2 linked regions of the Diceros bicornis minor genome follow. The protein of the gene in region 2 purifies or fractionates together with the protein of the main gene of each other region. This does not show direct contact. Links are inferred from orthologs where the notes say so. Each region holds a gene or a part of one and is shown on either strand. Other genes may lie near its edges.

Region 1 (10,066 bases), on a different chromosome or scaffold from region 2:
TCACGTTCCTCCCATCCCATAAAATCCTAACTTTTTCTGGAGGATGAGAGGAAGCAGGAGGTAACTGATAATCACCAAGATTAGGGCGCTACAGACTGGGGCTTCCAGTAGGTGAAATTGCGTTTGCCTAGATTAACTGGTAAGGAGCAAAAGTCTTTGGAATGCGCCCTCTTGTGGCCAGTCATTTCCCATTATTCAGAGAAGAAAGCGTGTAACCCCTAAAGGCACCCTTTCAGTGAGGCGTAATTCGCAGAAAAGTTCAGAAGCTCGGCATGGAATGGTGGGAGTCAACTCCACTCCGAGATGGCTTTCTTGGGGTGAGGGAAAATAGTCATCCAAGCAAGCCTGCTTAGACCCCTGTTTGGGCAGTGTAAAATTCTAACTCAAATCTTCTGTAACTAGAATCCTCCAAGAGAGATTTATTTGTTACTTTCAACAACACCTAGGCTATGTGAGCATTTTCTATTTCTTGGAGTTTCATTTGTCTTTCTTTCCTTATCCTTTCTTCGACAAGTGCTATCAGTTGCTAATTACCATAATCAGCCTATAAATTTGGCAGCATATGGAGACTCAATGATACATTGTTATTATACACTGACCAGCTATTATCATATATCAAAATAACATAACAAATATGTAGTAGTCAAGAAGGCCACTGATTTTAGCTTCATTGACAATTACAGTGATAGTTGGCTGGACTCTACTCATCCCTTCCTCTTTTCCTTTAAGGTCTTAAGGTAAACAGAGAAGATTCTGTGCCAGCCATGCAAACCTTGGTGAGCAATCTTGGCTGACACACATAAAAAGAAAATCATTTTCATTTGTTGGGATAAATTTCAGAAAGCCTGAGAATAATTCCTGGCTGCTTGGTCAATTACAGCTCATATAGGTTTTACAAGATGGAGCACTTTCCACCTGAGCACAATGGGACAAGCTCAGGTCAAAAACTTCTAGGCACTTGAGCTTTTGTGGTTTCTCAACTGCTGGGCCATGTCTTGGCTTTATTTAACCATCAAGGAGAATTGAGGCAAAAATGAAACATGAATCCTCCAAATTGAGGAATCTTGCAGTTGAAAGGTTCATCTATGGGTATGCATCTGTGGCATGCATGTGGGTGACACTGAGTGATTGGATTCTATGCTGTACATGACAGTTTATAAAGAAAAGAGAAATGAACGCCCTTTGCTATTCTCCAGAAATTTTGACATTTGATGTAGTTTAAATATTATTAAGGTTGAATTATTCCAAAAGCAACAAGATGCTCATATATTCACTACAATCATTCAGATGATGAATCTCTTTCCAGGGTTAGCAAAATATTCACAGGCTACTCTATTTGGAGAGTAGATTGTCCACATAGCAATCATTACATCTGTGAAATCATAGTAAATCAACTTGAAGGTAATGTGTAAAATTTCTCAGATGAGAAAAATAAGCAAGTGTAATAAACCTTTTCTAAGAATCCAGCAGCTCACCCAAAGTCAAGTTGTAAACTCAATCAGGAGGAGATTTCCATTACAAACCTTAAACTTTAGTCAGCGTGTGAGTTAAATGAATAGCCTTTTTAAAAAAATAGCTCAATTTCTTTCAAACTAAATACCTAATGGAAAAGTTAAAAAATGACAAGATTTCATATAACTGAGAAAAATATTGGCACTGAGATGAAGGCCATAAGTAAGAAAGAATGTAAAAGGTCAAATTCTTTCACTGCAAAATCTCTCAATGCCAAGAGAATGATTTGCTATACAAGTCAGATAAGGCAGAAAGAGGAGCAGATTGCTAGCATCAGGTGTATATTAAAAGCGGTCAAAGGCTTGAGTACACTTAGTTATATGATGCGGGTAAAGCCAAAGGAGTATGAGCTGCAATTAAGACCATCATGTGTGGCAATTGGTATATAAAAACCTATACAGGGTCCCTTGCGGCAGGGCAGGACACGGAGGGAGCAGTCCTGTGGACCACTAGAATCCATTCCCCAAACAGACCCCAACGTCATTAAGCACTTTCTTTCCTACCTTGCCACCAGGAAAGGTCGAGAAAAATTGGGTGGCAACTTGAAAACTCCAACCTGACTTTTTTCCTCAATAAGCTTCAAGAGATAAAGTCATAATTACCATGTTCTTTGGGGCTGCATCAAGAAAGCGTTCTAGAGAAAGAAAGTAAGACCTTCTTGAAAAGAAAGAAGCTGCTGGTGAGAGAGCTGAACTGCCCTGCCGGGAGCTTGCAGGACACCAGGACTTCTCCTACAGGGAAAAGCCAGGAAACCAGTGGGCTACCTACTCCCCGAAAAGGATGCCCAGGTCGCGCATGGTTTTCTTGAAAATAGAACATCTGAGTCAACAGGTTTTCAGGATTGGAAATTCTGAGTGTTGCCTTAATTGTTTATACTGCTGCGGCAAACTTTTAAACAGAAATGCTGGGAGTCCCTGCACATACTTTACCGGCCATATGCTCTACCAAACAAAACAATGGCATTCCTTTCAAATGGATTTGGCAAGGGCTACAATTCTTTAGCCTGGCATTACCATGAAAGTAACAGGGTATTAACACATCTGTGTGCCTGGGCGTGCACGGGCTTGCAGGCATGCAAAAGGATCTGTGTCACTTAACTGGCTCCAGGTCTACAGCCTGCATTTTTGACAGGTATTTCCTACTCAGCAACAGGTTAGTGTGGTCCTGAGCCAACGATTGATTAGAATCTATTTATTAAAGTTCTTCCTCTTAAGGATTGAGTGAGAGTTCAGTGTAGTATCTGAGAGCACTTTGTCAAGGTTGCATTCCTTGGCAGAGAGCTCTTAGTAACTTTATAGAGAACAAAACTCTTTTTTTTTTGGTTCCAAGAGCAAAAGTCAGAGTTTCAAAAGTGACTGCTGCTTCAATGTCAACTGTCCCCCAAAGTCGCTCTTTACTGCCTAGAATGTGATGCCTGTGCTCTTACAGATGGAGTTTCTAAAGGTAAAAATGACTGTCACTAATAAATATGCCCTTCTTCGCTGATGTGGCCCCTGACTGGACTTTTAAAAGGAAGGTTTGTTTTAAGAATGACTTCATCTGTGCCATTCCATCCCGATCCCGCACTCTGCCCCCCCCCCAGTAAAAACTTTGGATGGGGTCCGGAAGCCTCCTGGGCTCCCCCAGCACCCGAAAATGCCCCGGCTTCCATCCGGCTGCTCAGATCTGGTTTCATAGGCAGGGCGAGGGAGCCTCTCACAGACCAGCTTCCAGCTTCAGATTGGCCCCGGAGCTTCCTCCGGAGTGACCGGCTGAGTTCAGCAAGTGTAAGCTAGCCATCTCCAGCCCAGGTTCAATCGAGAATTCCATTTCTGTGAAGCTCTCTCCCCTCCCCTCCATCACCTAATAACTAATGATCTTCCCAGGCAGTTTAGAGCTGGAGGGAAAAGAAGTTCCTCCTAGGACTGTCAAAGAAACATATCCCCCCCACCACCCTCAATGCCAGCACCGACCTGATTCCGCGAACGTGATGATCTCCGAGGTCTGCTCCATAAGTTCATTCATTTCTGCCCTCCTTCCGATGTCATCCTCTATCTCCACATACCCGTTCTCCCCCACTTTGCCCACATGGAGCTTTCGGATAGCGTTCAGAAGCGCCGCCTTGGGCACAGGCTGGGTGACATCGGGTCTCTTCTTCAAGTGCAGCATGTTTAAAATGTGCTTCTTGACGGCCTCCACCATCTCCGGCTGAGAGTTGGGTACATCCTTTGGGAGGGTGGCCAGTGCACAGGACGGGCAGTCGGAGGCTGCACTCTGCCCCTCGGATCCTGGGGTGGGGGAACTCCTCACTATAATCCAGCAACTCGCCAACAAAAATCCTCTCAGCCAAAGCAAGGGCATCCTGGCAGCAAAAGTTGTTGTGATTGCCTTTTTAAAAGGCCCTGCTTTTCCTCCCCCCTCTCGCACAGGTTTGTTTGTTTGTTTGTTTGTTTTTTTCCTTCTCCTCTTCAGCAAATTCTCTGGAACAAGAACAAAAAGTTTTCTGTGAAGTTTTGTTTGCAGGTTCCCTCTCTGAATGCAGTCAGTGCTGTAGGTTTGTGGCTGTCAGGGAGGAGAGTTCTGACTGTCTCCGAGTAAGAGAGAAGGAGGGAGGGAGGGAGGGAGGGAGAGAAGGAGGGAGGGAGGGAGAGACAGGGTGGGGGGGAGACAGACAGAGACAGAGAGAGGATGGAAGGGAGGGAGAGACAGGGAGAGAGGAGAGAGGGGGAGAGAAGAGTGAGGGAGAGAAGGGGGAGAGGGAGAGAGAGGGAGGGAGGGAGAGAGGGAAAGGGAGAGAGGGAGGGAGGGAGGGGGGAGGGGGGGAGAGAGAGAGAGAGAGAGAGAGAACGAGAGAACGATTGGCCCTAAGTGAGTGAGTGAATGGGAGAGGGAGGGAGTTCGTCTGTGAGTAAAGGCTGTGATTAGGAAGGGGAGGGACAGCCCGTTTTCTGACAGGCTGCCTTCCTTCTGTTCCTTGCTCCCTCACAACACACACCTCTCTTCAAATACCAGCATTCTCGGGAGTTCTACTTTCCCTTCTGAAAGAAATTCTCCTAATTTTGTTCTACTTCTTTTTTTTTTTCTTTCTCTGCCCAGTCCCCTTGCTTCACCTTCTTCCTCTTTTGGAGGAGAAAGAAAATGCCAAACAAATGCACTGGCTCCATCAGCAGGGATGACTGGATTGAAACAGCCCACCCCCAGCACCCCTCCACCCTACCTAGCCACAGCCCCAGGGGACCAAACGCCTACCAGCCTGTCCTGTCCGGTGGGGCTCGGGGTGCCGAGAGGTCAGTGGACAGGTAGTGGAGTTGGGAAGAGGGCTGAGGGGCCAATGTGCTAGGGGGCCGGCCAGTCAATTGTTGGGGCCTGAGGGAATCCTGGAGATCTTCGTTTCCCCATTCATTCCTATTGAAATGTTCTGGATCCTCACCACCGGCTGGGGATCTGAGGAGAGTGCAATAGAACTTTTGTTTGGGGTCATATAATACACTCTACTTTCCCCAGCTGCAAAATGCAGCCGGGCACTGGAAGATCCACAAGCAGGCAGCATTTTACGTGTCCGTGTCCTGTGAAGCTCTTTCCCCTCTCCTTAGCCGCCACCCCCTTCTGCTCTGCACACAGGCACTCACAAATTACAGCCTACCACCACCGGCCCTGACTTCACAGATCAAATGCAAAATTCATTTGCCCTTTCCCACATTATTTTACACAAACAGTGCACTCCTGTGACTTGAATAACTAGTCCTATGGGAAAAGAATCTCTAAAATATATTGGCAAATTATTTTCTCTGTCATGTGGTAGTTTTTTCAGCCTGCCCCCTACCCCATCCCAGATCAGTGTGTTCATGGACTGGCTCCTTTAATGGCTTCTTTTTCCCTCAAAGGAACAGCACAGATGAAATTATCACGGATTTCACTGTTCACAGAAAAAGAAAAATGTGAATTTTTAAACAATGCTTCTCTGAGTTTTTTTTTATTCTCCTCCCCCCCAGCCCCCTTTTTCATTTTCTTATTGCTTTTATCTTGCAGAAGTATCTTTAAGAGGTCCATCTGTTAAAGCTTTCCCTCCCTCTCGGTTTCTTTCCCACACATAAGCCCTCTCAGTTTCTGTAGATACAGTCAGCTTATATCTGACACCTAGTGTGTTCAGAGCATTATAGTCAAGCAATGCAGTTTGGTGGAAAAAGTTAATAAATATCATTAGTACAAGGACAAGATCTGAGGGCAAGGGGAGGAGGGTGAGAAAATTGTGGCACTAAGTTAAAATTACAGTTTGCACAGGTAACAATGCTATTCTGAATAGGATACACTGTCTCCCTTTCCCAAAACAACTACTTGCAAGACTTTCTCTGTTACAAGCCATCTATCAGCTTTGGGGTTTCACCTCCAGGAACATCAATTACTCTGCTCTTATTGTTAAGACTTTGCTTACATTCCCTAAAAAGTCTAATTTTTTTAGTGGGTGATGGTGAAAGAGAATGGGGAAGGGGGAGTTTGCATTATAATTGTTTAATAAAACATCTTTGAAATATAATACTTAGCACAATGTACTTATTTGGCGTCACATATACAGTACCCAAAGCATTTCGTAGTCCAATTAAGTTTTACAAGAGAGTCTGAAATAGAATTAAAAGTTTAATGACTCCAAACAACTCAAGAGTCCTAATAGTAGCATTTAGATAAGTGCAATTTATCAATCTTTGGATTCTCTCTGTATGTGAGTATGTGTGTTTTCCCTGAATTTACTGTTTGTGAATGTAACTCTTAAAAAATAGCTTTCTCTTTGGCATATGTATTTGCATTTAAGTGCTGAATGAGTTGTATAAACACATAATCTATTTGCATGCTCTACTATTAAAAGCTATATTAACCTGCCTGAATAATATAAAAAGATATAAATCCCAATGTGCATGGAAGTGTCAATAAGCTGTAAAATTCCTTCTAACCCTTCTGATTCTGAATGTGTAAATAGCTCATAAGTAAGAGTTAAAAAGATTACCTCTCCGGTCCTCTCTTTCTCCAGCAGACTCTTGTATTATGTGGTTAGGAGCTGTCTGAGTTCCTCTTCATGGTATTGGCACTGGGAAGTTTTATACTGTACTACTTATTTGTACACTCACACATTGGTACCACTCAAACAGAGGAGGGCTGGGGCTTTGTTTGGGATTGGTCAGAATCAGCATGACATCAGCAGATGACTGGTTTTTCCAGTGTGAGCCATATTTCATAATTCATTATCTAATGGAAAGCCTTTCTTGGCTGCTGTGACACTGGGTGATCACTGAGCCAGTTAAACCTCTGACTGACTGGATTACCTTTTAGAAAAACACCGGAATGGAACAGCTACGTCTCACTGAGTGTCCAACTTTCAACTTTTCTTGTACTACTCGCACACACACTTCTCATTATATTCAGGTTCAGCTTTATGTCTTCACATAAAACATCTGTTACTTCATGAAGTTGCCTCTATTTAAAAAGTATTTTATTGTTTCTTACAGGCAGGAAAATTCACAGTGCTCTTTATAGGGATTCTAATTTTACTTTTTAAAATAAGATATTTCATTGAGAAAAAAAGGAACATATGCATACCGATATGATAATGGTTTCCCCTCCCCTGACTTACACTATTATTTTACGCTTGAAATTGAATGCCTGCTTCATAAATCATTTATCACCAAGAACTTTGGAAACAGTCATTCTCTGCAAGTGAACTTTATCTTTCCCAGGTCTTTAGAATCCCAATCTAACAAAAAAGAAAAAAAAAAAAACAACTCATACAACATTCTTCTTTATCAGAACTTCAAGTCCTATGATTTTAAAATTGTTACAAATATAACACGAGATTAACGAAAAGAAAAACATTCCTTGAAATACGGGTCAAGTTGGTTATGGTTTTTTTTTTTGAGGGGGGTGGGGGAGTATTAGCAAGTCTGGGAAATAACACAGGAGGAAGGAATCTTCAGACAAGACTGATGGAGAAGGAATATAGCTGGGTACTCATGACAAGTTGAATAAAATGTGCAAAACTGGGAGCTAATGAAAGCCATCTGACCAGATATGTTGTTTTGTATGCAGGATTTAACATGCATAAAATAAACTTTTCACTGTGCCCACAAGCAAAATACAGAGGCTCTGGCCTCCTGACGTGCAGTTGAAGCAGGTTCCTTTAGGACACCATAAGTCTTCTGCGTAACAGGGTCTGCCTTGGCTGAACACAGAGAAAGTGTGGATGCTGAGCTGTACAGTGGGGGCTGGGGGGTGAGTATTCTACCATCTGCATACGCAGAAATGAAGTAGAAAATAAAATCATTAGGTTGTAGAGGAACAGAGGGAATCTGAGAAGGAAAGACAGAAACAGGATCAGTGTTGGTTAACTCCAAAGCTGTCCAGCACTTGAGAACTAGATGGACTCAACCTCTTTAGAAGAAAGGAATGTCCCACCTCTGTGAGGAGCACTGCTGGAGAGCAATGGCCTGCAGGGCAGCTAAACCTGCCCCCTCCCCCACGCATGAACCCTGGGGTCCTGGAAGTACCACCACCGCCATGAGTGTGGGGGTAGACCACCAACCCAGATCAGACCCCAGGTTCACTGCCTACTAACCATGTCACGTAGGGCCTCAGTGTTCTCGTCTATGAAGTAGGATCCGCAATACTCAATTGCAGGGAAGCCTGTACTCAGGAAAGAAGAGGTGATATTATTTCTGAGATGCATGGTGGCTCTTTCTAAACATTTGTGTCACAGGAATCTGCAGCACTCTGACTAGAGGAGCCACCCTATAAGTGTGACTCAGATCGCGTTGGCCATCGGATGCCACGGAAGTGCCCACCTGCCAGGTTGGCCCACCAGCTGTGATGTCATTCTCTACCTGAATCCCCAGCCTTGGAGCTGAGCCACACTGGAAATGCCTCCTCACTCAGTGGAAATGAAGGTGGGGGTGGTGGAGGAAGCAGGCAGGTTAAAATAACTTCTGTCGAATATTTTGGACTGGGACTGATCTTTTAACCCCCTCCGAACTCCAGGACCCAGGGGTAAACGGGTCAGCCCAGCTCCTGACAAGCATCTCCTCTTCCTTCCTGGGTTTGGTTTCTCTTTCACTTCCAGCCCCCTCCCCCCGCAGCTTCCCCACGCCCGGGCCCTGCGGTCCCGCTGCTCGGCCTGCTACTGTACCTTGAGCAACACCTGCTGGCAGCTCCCGGGGATCACGCCGGAACGCGGCTGCTGCTCGAGCCCGGCTCTCGGGTCTGGAGTCAGGGCCAAGCCATTCGGAGCGGCCGCCTCTATTTTTACCCCGAGCACCAGCAAGGGCAACTTCTTTTAAAAGCAGCTCTTGATTTTTCCCCCCTTTTGGCAGCTAAAGAATTCAGAGAGGGGAAAAAAAAAATCACTGTTCAGTGAGTGCAGCTGGGAATCTCTGAACCTAGCCCTCGTGCCAGGGCTGCAAGCACAGCCAATGTCAGGGACCAGGACGGGGACCTGCGGGCCGGCTCCAGGGCGGACAGAGGCGCGCTAGAAGCGCTGACGCCCCACGAGCTGTCCCCTTTCCGACTGCGGAGTTGGGTCCTACCAGCGACTGCGCTGGCACAGTGGCCCGCTGCCGCCGCGTTTTTCTCCTAGTGCAGGCGGCCTGATTTACTGGCTACTTCACAAAGCGCCCAGCCGCTCGCTGGAGCATTTGCATGGCTCTGTTCTCGCCTCGAGGAGCAGCCCCTGGAGAACCCGGTGGAGCAGCTTGTTGCGAGAGGGAGCCGGGAGGGAAACTGTGGTACCTTATTTTACTGTAATTGCAAAAGGCACGATGTGCCAGAGATTTATATTTAGAAGTTGTATGTTTCTACTTTTATGTAAATGGAGCAATTAGGGCCTGTCTTGCTGCTGCTAACTCCAGTGCTTGTGCCTTGCTGGGGAGCTGGTGTTTTCGATCACGATTAGTGAGCTGGTCAGAAAACAAAGTTCGTTTAAGGATAAGAGCTCAGTGGTGCAAACAGGGGAGAGACCAGCGTCCCTGTGCCTCCCTGTGGCCCGAGGTGACACACATCTTAGGGCACGGCTAACCTATAGTGGTGTTTACCCGTGGCGGCAGCTGTCTCTGTACAAAGCTGGCATAGATCAAGAGGCAAGAATGTTCATTTTTCTTCTGAGGCAAACCGTATGTCCTTCGCCTTCTATCCGTGCTATTAATTGGTCTCTTTGCTCAGTACTCCTGGAACAAGGAAACAGGCCTAGAAAAGGGGGCTGTTTTTCATGGCTCTCTTATTGTAGCTGCAGCTCATGCATTGCTGTTATTCAGTGAAAAATACACGCCAGGAGACGTGAACACCCCGAGCAGGTGACTGGGAAGTTGTCGTCTGATTCAGCTGAAATGGCACGAGGCTGGGCGTTCAGAGCATGGACTAGGCTGCTGACGACTCAGGGTGTTTTAGTTCCTTCCTATGAAAAATCTGTTTCCAAAAAAGCATGATTTCTGGTTCATCCCGTCTGGGAAGCCAAACATAAAATGTGACTATGGAGAGAAATCAGAAGGACTCGAGGTGTTCTCAGCAGCTGACATGTTATTCTGGACTCAAGGCAGGAAAA
Region 2 (9,555 bases):
GATTGGGACGTCATTCATACTAGAAACAGTACCACAAATCCAGTGTCACCTAAATCCACAAGCAAGACCTGACAAGGGGCTTACCTAAGGAATTCCAGTAAAATAGTAGTGAAAGAGTAGATAGCATGCTGAAGGAGGAATTTAGGAAAGCAGGTGCTTTGGAGAACAAGTCATCTCAAACTGTCTTCCCTAATTCTTCAGCCAATCACGGCAGAAGGTTGTGCAAGGGAACTAGGCACACAGCCAGGAACCGCAGCTCACCAGAGCCCCTTCTGTCATGAGAAACTTCTCATCAGACTCTAAAATAATTTTTCCACATGTTTCTCCCATACCCCCTACCACCATTATCATCACATGTGAAATCAGGATCCTGCCATGCCAAGATCTTGTCAAATGCACTGGGCTCACCAGTGGTGCCCTGGTATCCACAGCTCCTCACAACCTTCAGCAAGTGCCTCAGTCTTTCTGGAGGGTAGAGGCAGAATGGAGCATGGCGAGAGAGCACACACAGACACACACATGCACCTCTATCTCAAACCCAGACCAGCACATCCTCTAGTCCACTGCTTACTCCCTCTGTAAGCACAGTAACCAGGAGACTCAGACATAGGAAGCAGCTTCTCTGGCTCTCCTCAGACTCTAGGCCAGTAGAAGTGAGCACTCTCCTTGTCCAGGCACCCTTCATGAAGTGGGCTATTTCCAATCTCTATAATCTAGCATTTCTGGAGGGGAGGAGGTGCTCACAGACTGCTGCAGAGGGCCACCTGCTGTCTCACCCAGCTTCTGCCCCAAATACCAACACCTGGGTAGCCTCAAAAAAATAAAAACACAGTACAGTCATTTATCAGTATCTATTAAAATTTAAAATATACATGTCATTATGACCCAGAAATTCCTCTTCTTGTCATCTATTCTTGAGAAACAATCTGCATAAACTATATACAATCAGGAAGCCCATCAATAGGAAACTAGATAAAATGTAGTCTACACCCAAACTTTGAAATTTCACACAGCTATTAAAAAGATCGAGGTAGATCTATATAATAGAAAGATTGCCAAAACATATCTCTGAATTTAAAAAGCCATGACACACAACAACACAGATGCAAGTCACAAACATGGTGAGCAAAAGATGGACACAAAACAGTTCACTCTATAAGACTCCTTTCATATAAAACACAAAAACAGGCAATACTAACGCATGCTGTTAGAAGTCAGGATAGTGGTTACCCTTAGGGGTTCAGAGGTAGAGACTAGAATGGAGCAAGAGAGGGCTTTGCTGGGGGAGGGGCTGGTAAATTTCTGATTCTTGATCTGGATGCTAAGTAAATGAACAGATTCAGTTTGCGAAAATTCATCAAGCTGTCACGGTAATTACATTGTTCTATATGTATTTTATTTTATACTTCAATTAAATGTTTGAAAAAGAGCAATACAATTTTAGGTAAAAAAACAAGCACACACTTCTCTATTTCTTGAAGTATTCCTATAGATGCACAGGTAAAATATCTAGAAGGATATCTACCAACCCGAGAAGGCTCACTTCTGGAGAATGGGGACTGGGGTGATAAAAGAGACCCTGGTTTTATCTCTAACATCTAAATTTCTGCAATTGATGTACATATATTATTTGTAAAACTAAAAATTAATAAAATTGAAAATGGGAAAAGAAGTTATGGCTAAAGTGACCTCTACTCCCCCAACTATACCCCAGGGTGGCTAAGCAGGAGACCCTGGGTAAGGGGAGGTTTGAGAGCCGTTTTTCAGGGAGGCAGGACTGCACTGCTCTGGCTCTAGTTTCCCTGAGCGGGCCTGCAGGACCCACTCTCAGATGGGAGGTTCAGAGGAGGAGCCAGCCAGGTAGAAAGGGAAACCAGAATTCATCTCTCTAAGCTTTCTGTCCCTCTACTTTCTAAGCCCCAGAGCAGATGAACCCTGATCCCCTATGTCCTCAGGGCACAGAGAAGCTGGACCTCCTTATGAGGCCCTGGTCTGCCTGGCTTGTGAGCACCCGAAAGGAATGTCAAACCTTGGGTGAGAAGGAAATTCCCAAAAAGTACATAAAGTAAAGGTTTCTTAACCCATGGTTGCCAGCCAAGGCTCTGAGAACTCATGCATGCTTTCTGAATCAATGGGGAGGAAGATGGAAGGAGGGTTGTCAACGACACTGAACATTAAGAGGCATTGTCCTCATACCTGAAAACACTGTATACCACTACACAAGCCAGAAGTAAAAAACATCCTGCCATCAACACTCAAGAAAGTCAGCTTCCAAGTCAGCCTCCTGTTTTCATTGGTTCAGGTCTAAGGGGCAAGCAGGGAGCCCCTCCCTCTCCTTGGATGGACAGACAACAGCTGGTCTGGTCATATCTTCCGAAATGCTCGGCCACAAACCCCAGGAAGCAGCCTTCTCCATCCTCCAGCCAAGAGCTTGGGTTTCCAACCAGCCTTCCTTTTCTTTCCCCAGAACTAATTTTAGACTCCTTGGTTGTCAGAGTAGAACTGAAATAGTCGGCAAAGGAACGTTTGAAAACAAGAACATGAGCTCACCTCACAAAACACCTCAGCTCCAGCCCAGAAACTGGCTAGAGAGGAGAAGTCCCATTGTGCAGCAGGCCAGGCCCCAAGAGAAGGTCCCCGGGGGGAGGAGGGCCATACATCTGCCCAGTGGGGCAGGCTTCCTTTCCAACACTCGCTCCCAGCAATCACGTGTCCGTGAATGAAAACACTCAGCTAGGGCTGCCAGTCCCTGAGACACTTTGAAAAAGGCACATGTATGTGTACAGCGAGACTGGAATTACCAGGGTAAAGCATAGGGCTGTCCGAAGGCATGAGTGATCCTGGGCCAGGAAGAGGCACGGCTGATCCTAGAACAATCCCAGTCCACATTATCAGTTGGTTTCCAGTACCTATCACTGTCTCAGGCAGATATATCACTGAAAAACCTAAAAAACGAAGACTCAGAAGAAGGCAGCAGCATCTCCTCTCCCTCATCCCCATCACTACCCAACAACCTGAGCATCCAGGAGCAGCACCACTAGGACCTCAAGGAACAGGTACCTCTTGGGCTGTGGGTCTGGGGGGGAAAGGGCCTGTGAGTCTGGGGGGTAAAGATCAAAAAGGAAGCTCTAAACATGGGGATGGGTGTCTATTCCTGAAGGAAGAATGGTGATAGAAGGCAAGGGAAGAAAAGAATTTTGAGAAGGCAACAAGGTCTTTCCTTCAGAAGGACCCCAAAAGAGATGGAACTGGCAAGTCTCAACTCCAGCAAGAAACCCTTTAAAATAAGCACTTCACACACGGGGAATGTGGAAAACCTGGAAACTGAAGCTTTTAAGACTGCTTCCTCCCACCCTGAGAACCCAGTCTGTAATCAGTTCCAAGTGCAGCAAGCTGTCTTGCTGAGTTCAAGATCAGAGAAGAGTCCCCCCAGAAAGCCCTCCCTAGCAGAGCTGGGGGTCGGTCCGGGGAGCAGTGGAGCACAAACACGGGTGCTGCCAGCCTGCCAAGCCCAACACACAGGCGCCCATAGAGATCACCCCTTCCGTCAGGGCCCCGGGGCTGGCGCCTGGCGCCGGCAGTTCTGCCCACCACGCCTCCCCAGGTCCAGAAGAAATCTGCCCTGCCCTCCAATTCCCCGAGGCCAGGAGAGAGACTGGTGCCCATACCTTTGCGGAGAGGCTGCCCCCCTGCCCTGGCGTCCCCGGGCTCGGAGCTCCAGGCCCAAAGCCTCTGTGGCTCCTCGGGGCGCCGCACCGCCGGCGCGCCCGGGGGAGAGGGCATGCCCGCGTCCTGCTACCACCCCCCGCGCTCCTGCAGGCCGCCGCGGGCGGCCCCGGCTCCGGCGGCTCCCGAGTGAGCAGTCAGGGGCTGCGGGGCGGCGCGCAGGCCCCAGCAACAGGCACTTCCTGACATTCTGCGCGTGCGGAGGGAGAGGCACGAGGCGCAGACCGCACGGCGGCGGGCAGAGGGAGGCGGGCGGGCTGCCCGGCCACCCACAACCGCCGCCTCCCTGAAACCCGAACCTCTTCTGGGAAAACTCAAGGACGCCAGGATTCTCCTCGGCGGCCAGCGGGTACTCCAGAACCACTCATTTCGAACCAAACGCTCACAGCCGAGCAGGTTTATCAAAGGAGGAATCTCCTAGGCTTGGATGAGAATCCACCATCCCACCCCGAATACAATGGGAGGGGGGGTGTATGCAGACATTAGCCATTAACCCCATCTCCCACAAACGTCTGTCTCTTTAAAGCATGAGAACATTCTAGAGCAGATATTCTCAACCCGAGGTGATTTTGCACCCCCTCTGCCTAGGACATTTCCGGTTGTCACGATTAGAAGTGCTATAAGCATTTAGTGGGCAGAGGCCAGGGAAGCTGCTAAACATCCTACAGTGCACAAGACAGCTCTCACCACTACCCCAACATACACCCCCCCCACACAAAGAAACATGGGGTCCAAACTGTCAATAGTGTCAAGGTTGAGAAACTCTGTCCTGGAATGAGGTCTACCTAGCCAGGACCCCACCTGAGGGCTGTCTATTCAGTGTCCTTCTCAAAAGCATTACCCAGGCCAGATCCCCCTCGGCCCCCAGATCCCAGTCCACGGTAACAGGCCAGTATCCGCAAGTGGATCTAATCTCTGACCTGATGTCCCTTGGTCCCCACTTTATCCTGAGCTGCCAGGTAGGGGGCTGAATGCATAGGTACTCAGGGGAGGCCTTCCTGGAGGAGGAGGAGACTAGGGCTGGAACATGAACACTGGGCAAGATCACAAATGACAGAAGTAAAGAAGTCATGTCCAGTGGCTAGAACAGGGTAAGTGGATGCAGCAATGTAGGAACAAGCCCGGTGAACCCCCAAAGGACAGCAAGTTGCCCCTCAGGACTGGTACAGCGGGTATGTGCAGGGCAGTCAGGACTTCACAGAGGCCAACCCAGGGGGGCACAGGTTCCTGTTATCAGTGCAAAACAGCAAGTGTGCTGCACAATGTGTGTATGTGCATGTGTGCACACACACACTCGCACCCTGATTTGTATTTTCCTGGGGAAAGGGTCCACAGCTTTTATCAGTTCTCAGAGGGGCCCATGATACAAAGGACCATGGTGTAGGATGGGGGCTCTTTGCAAAGGAAATTCCTTAGGTGAAGTGCCACGGGAGGTCCAGGTGCTATTTGGGGATTCTCGATGCCCAGAAAGACCTTGTGGGGTAGTACACCACAGAGGCCCACCCAAGCTGTGCGAGGCCGTGGGGTTCTGGGTCTTATGCTTTCACCCAGCTGTAGGGCCTGGGAGGTTGGGTGAGTTTCTCACATCACCTACCTTGGAAGAGCCTCTAAGAGCTGAGGAGGGTGCCCACTCCTCCCAAAGGCTAGGCCAGCCGGCCAGGGAGAACCTGGAGTGCCCACAGATATAAGGACAGGTAGCACAGGACACCCTTCCCTGGGGAAGAGCACCAATGGCCTGTGGCTCTGTGGTACATGGCCTTGACAGCAACCACTACACTGGGCCTGAAGGTCACTTGACTCATCACACACACACTTCTCCCCTAAGAAAATGGACAACATCTTTGGGTCAGAAAGTAGCCAGCCAATGAGGACGGCTTGGGGCAGTCAAGGCCTGCACTTCCTGATGGGGCAGACAGGAGTCAGGTCCTCTTTCCCCACCAGTGGCTCCCAACATTCCACCAGAACACTCTTCACCCCGCCCCACAGGCTCCAATCTGAACCCCAAGTACAGAAGCAGATGTCCGGAGTTCTTGTGGCACACAGAGATGTGTGTCTGGGATGTCCAGTGCAAGGCAAGAGCCAGATGACTTTTTTCCCAAGGACACCGGGCCAGGCACAGAACACAAAAGACTTGCAGAACTAACTGAACACTGATCTTGTAACAAGCACCATGTGCCACTATTACAGCACGAATTCCACCTTTTCTTCTAGGCCCGTGCCATCCAGTATGGTAGCCACCAGCCAAATGTGACTACGGAGCACTTGAAACGTGGCAAGTGTGAACTGACATGTTCTGTAAGTATAAAATACACACTAGATTTTCATGACAGTACAACAAAAAGAATTTATTTTATTCTTTTATTCTCATTATTTTAATACTGATTACATAGTGAAATGATTATTTTGTATATATTAGGTTAAATAAAATATACCATTAAAGTTAATTTCACTTTGTTATGGACTATACTATGTTCCCTCAAAATTCATATGTTGAAACCCTAACACCCAGTATGATGATATTTGGAAGATAATTTGAGTTAAAATGGTTCATGAGGGTGGGGCCCTCATGATGGGGTTAGTGGAAGAGGAAGAAAGAAAAAACTCTCTCTCTCTCTCTCTCCCCACCAGCACCAAGGAAAGGCCCCGTGAGGACACAGTGAGAAGACAGCCATCTGCAAGCTAGGAAGAAGGCCCTCACCAGAACCCTGGCACACTCATCTTGGACTTCCAGGCTCCAGACCTGTGAGAAAATAAATTTGGCTAAGTCACCCAGTCTATGGTATTTTGTTATAGCAGCCCTAAAAGAAACACCTGTTTCTTTTTCCTTTTATTAACATGACTACTAGAAAATTTTAAGTTATATATCTGGTTCACACTATATTTCTGTTGGACAGTGCTATCCTAGATCTTCCTTCTACAAGGGCACTGTGTGCCACAGGGGGTGGGGGTAATTCTAAACAGCAAGCCAGGAGCTTGAAGGAAGGGCATTCACGAAGTCAAAGGAACAGGAAGGCCAGCTCTGCCCCCAACCTGGGCCTGGGGCAGCTCTTCCCATAATTCCTCATAAATCAGGGCAGTGGCGACTAGAAGATGGTGACCCCCACCTTCCTCCCAGGGCAAGAACACAGGTGATGGGACTCCAGTCTAGCTCCAGCTGCCCCACCTTGCAGGGTACACTGCTCAGCACTACCCAAGCCAGGAGTGGGGAGCAGGGGGAAGAGGAGAGAAATACAGTCCTTCCAGGGGCCCAATTCAACTCTGCCCTGCCTCAACAGGGAGGGAGGTGAGACTGGTGAGGCCAGACTGAGACAAATTAAGGAGAAGGTTCCAGGTTTGAGGCTGTCCTGTCCTAGGAGGAGGCCCCCTCTGCAGGCTTGGGCTTAGAAGAACCCAGGCACCTCCAGGAGGAATCTAGAGACAGCCAGGTAGGCTGCTGGTGCCTATTAAGTCGGCTTGCTCCCGCCCACCCCCCTAGAGACCAATGCTTTCCTTTCACTTCAGAGCTCTCATTCTTGGGAAAAAGCATCTCAAAGCAGCACTTAAAAGACAGAGAGAGAAACAAGTTCAACACCACCACCACTTCGCTTCTGCCACACAGAAAATGGCTCCACAAGAGCCATGATGCCCCCTCCCACATCGTTCCGAGGTACCAATAAGAGGGTCTCTGTCCTCTGGACCCTGCACTCAGGCTACTTAGCTCCAATCCCCACACCGACAACTCACTGGCTTTCGGTGCGGACAGCTAAGCCACGCTATACCGTAAAGCAGGCGATTAGAGTAGAGGTGGCGATGGGATGGAGATCCCGGATCCCCACGCCCGCAGCAGCGCGGGGATCCCAGCCCCGCCCTCGCGCACCCGGCCCCGCCCTTCGAGGGTTTCCCAGACTCCGCGCTGCTGCCACCGCGGGCGGCGGGGGACCCGCGCTGCATGTGTAATGGGGGCTGGGAACAAAGACGCGCAGGACCCAGCTCCCGGCCTACCGCGCACCCGCCGCCCCAGGCTTCTCCCTAGAGCTTCACTGCGCAGCTCCCCACGTTTCCCACAGGCGGTCCCTGCGCGCACACCTGCGTTGGGCGCGCCCCAGCACCGCTAGAAGAGGAAAATCAGTGCTTCGGCCTTGAGGAAAAAGCGCTTTTCCGAAACTCCGCGTATATACACCTGCACCCACACACACGCGAGCCGAACGCTAGCCCCGCGGGTCACCCACCCCCGCCACGTGCTTCCCGGAGGCCAGAACGAACTGGGACATGTTGGCTTTTCTTCTCGCCTCACCTCCCCTCCCAGGCGCCCAAAACAAAGCGGTCCCGCAGGGCGGCCGCACCTAGCGTCCTGAGGCCCGCCGCAGGGAAAGCGGGCGCAGTTGGGAGCTGATGCCAACGGCCCGCCTTTCGGGGAACGACGCAGACGTTGGTGGGATGGGGTGCAGAGGACCCCGCCGGGCTGTGTGAAGCAACCCCCTTCGCTTCGCAACACTTCGTGGCTTTGAAGGTCGCGCAGCCCTGCCCCCAGCAGCTGCTGCACCTACAATCCCGCCACCCTCGGATTAGATCTGCCCGCCCCGCTTGGCCACCCTCCCCACGCTCCGGTTTTCCTCTCCCTCTCCCTGGGTTCCAGGCGCCCGCGTATCCTGAACCCGGACCCTGGGGCTCCAGGTCCCGCCCCCATCATGGGGTCGCCCCCGCGAACCGGAGCCCCGCAGGCCGCCGTACAGACAAGACCGTCCTCCTAAGATCGGCGAGCGGGGCGCCCAGCGCGCCCCTAGTCCCCGCCCCGGGAGGTGTAAGCTAGGTGCAGGTGGCGCGGCGAGGAGGCCGCGGGCCCGCCCTTTGTTGGTCAACACCGTGCGGCGCCCGAGGCCAGCCCGGCTCGCCCTCCCCGCACCCCGCACGCCGCGCCTCGTCCTTACCCGCGCACAGCGATCCCCAGAGGAGGGCGAGGGCCGCCCAGGGCGCCGTCATGTTCCGCGGCGCCGCCCCGCGGACACCCGGAGCCCGCGGGCAGGGCCGCGCGGCGCTCCCGGGGCGCGCAGGGCCCGGCGGCGGCTGCGCTCTCCTTCCCGCTCCTTCCTTCGGTCCCGTTCCCCGCGCGCTTCCTGCGCCTTCGTCCCCGGGCAGCGTGCAGGCTCCAAGGGCCAGGCGGCGGGGCCGGGCTCACGGCTGCTGCGGGCGGCGCAGGCTGCGGCCCGGGCTCCGGGGCGACGCAGGGGCCGGGGGGCGGCGGCGGGGCGCGGGCCGGGGCGCGCCCGACTCGGGCATAGCGCGGCGGGGCTGGGCCCGGGCCCCGGGCGCAGGGGCCGAGTCCGGAGGGGCCATGAACGGGGGGAGGGGTGGGGGGAGGGGAGCTGAACCGAGTCCAAAATGGCTCCTGAGCCGTGGCCGCGGAGCCGAGCCAGCGGGGAAACCCGGATGTTGGATACAAAGAGGCGGGCGAGCTGGGCGGGGAGGGGGAGGGGGAGGGGAGGCGGGCCCTCTAGCCGCGTGGTCCGCGCCCCCCTCAGGGGCGGGGCCCCAGAGAAACAACAACAAGGAGGCCCCGCCCCCAGCCCGCGCCCTCCGGGAGGATGCGTGCAAACCGTGGAGCTGGAAGACGAGGCTGGGTGCGCAGACAGAGGTGGCGGGATTGCACCCTGGACCACTTTGCCCCGGGAGCCCGTGGCCGCCGCACCCGAGATTCTTGCTCCACGCGCTGGAGCCCATGCTCCCGAACTCGTGCTGCCCTGCGACCCCGGAGTGGATGGCCAGCCCCCGGACTCTGGCCTGGATTCCCCTCTGCGCCTCCGTTTCCCTGTGAAATGGGGGTCACAATGAACCATAGGAGAGTCGTGTCTT

The links.
Region 1: the proteins of ACVR2B (region 2) and INHBA purify together in Homo sapiens (affinity purification with western blotting; 3 studies listed by BioGRID and IntAct, with this or other methods). This does not show direct contact. The link is inferred for Diceros bicornis minor from reciprocal best matches to the Homo sapiens genes ACVR2B and INHBA.

What each region holds. Positions count from the first base shown.
Region 1 is NC_080742.1:5,595,949-5,606,014, reverse strand, and holds the start of INHBA (inhibin beta A chain), read right to left. Parts: upstream 4,041-10,066; 5' UTR 3,853-4,040; coding exon 3,465-3,852; intron 1-3,464. UniProt on the Homo sapiens protein: Inhibins/activins are involved in regulating a number of diverse functions such as hypothalamic and pituitary hormone secretion, gonadal hormone secretion, germ cell development and maturation, erythroid differentiation, insulin secretion, nerve cell survival, embryonic axial development or bone growth, depending on their subunit composition.
Region 2 is NC_080741.1:41,293,022-41,302,576, reverse strand, and holds the start of ACVR2B (activin receptor type-2B), read right to left. Parts: upstream 4,373-9,555; 5' UTR 3,784-4,372; coding exon 3,669-3,783; intron 1-3,668. UniProt on the Homo sapiens protein: Transmembrane serine/threonine kinase activin type-2 receptor forming an activin receptor complex with activin type-1 serine/threonine kinase receptors (ACVR1, ACVR1B or ACVR1c).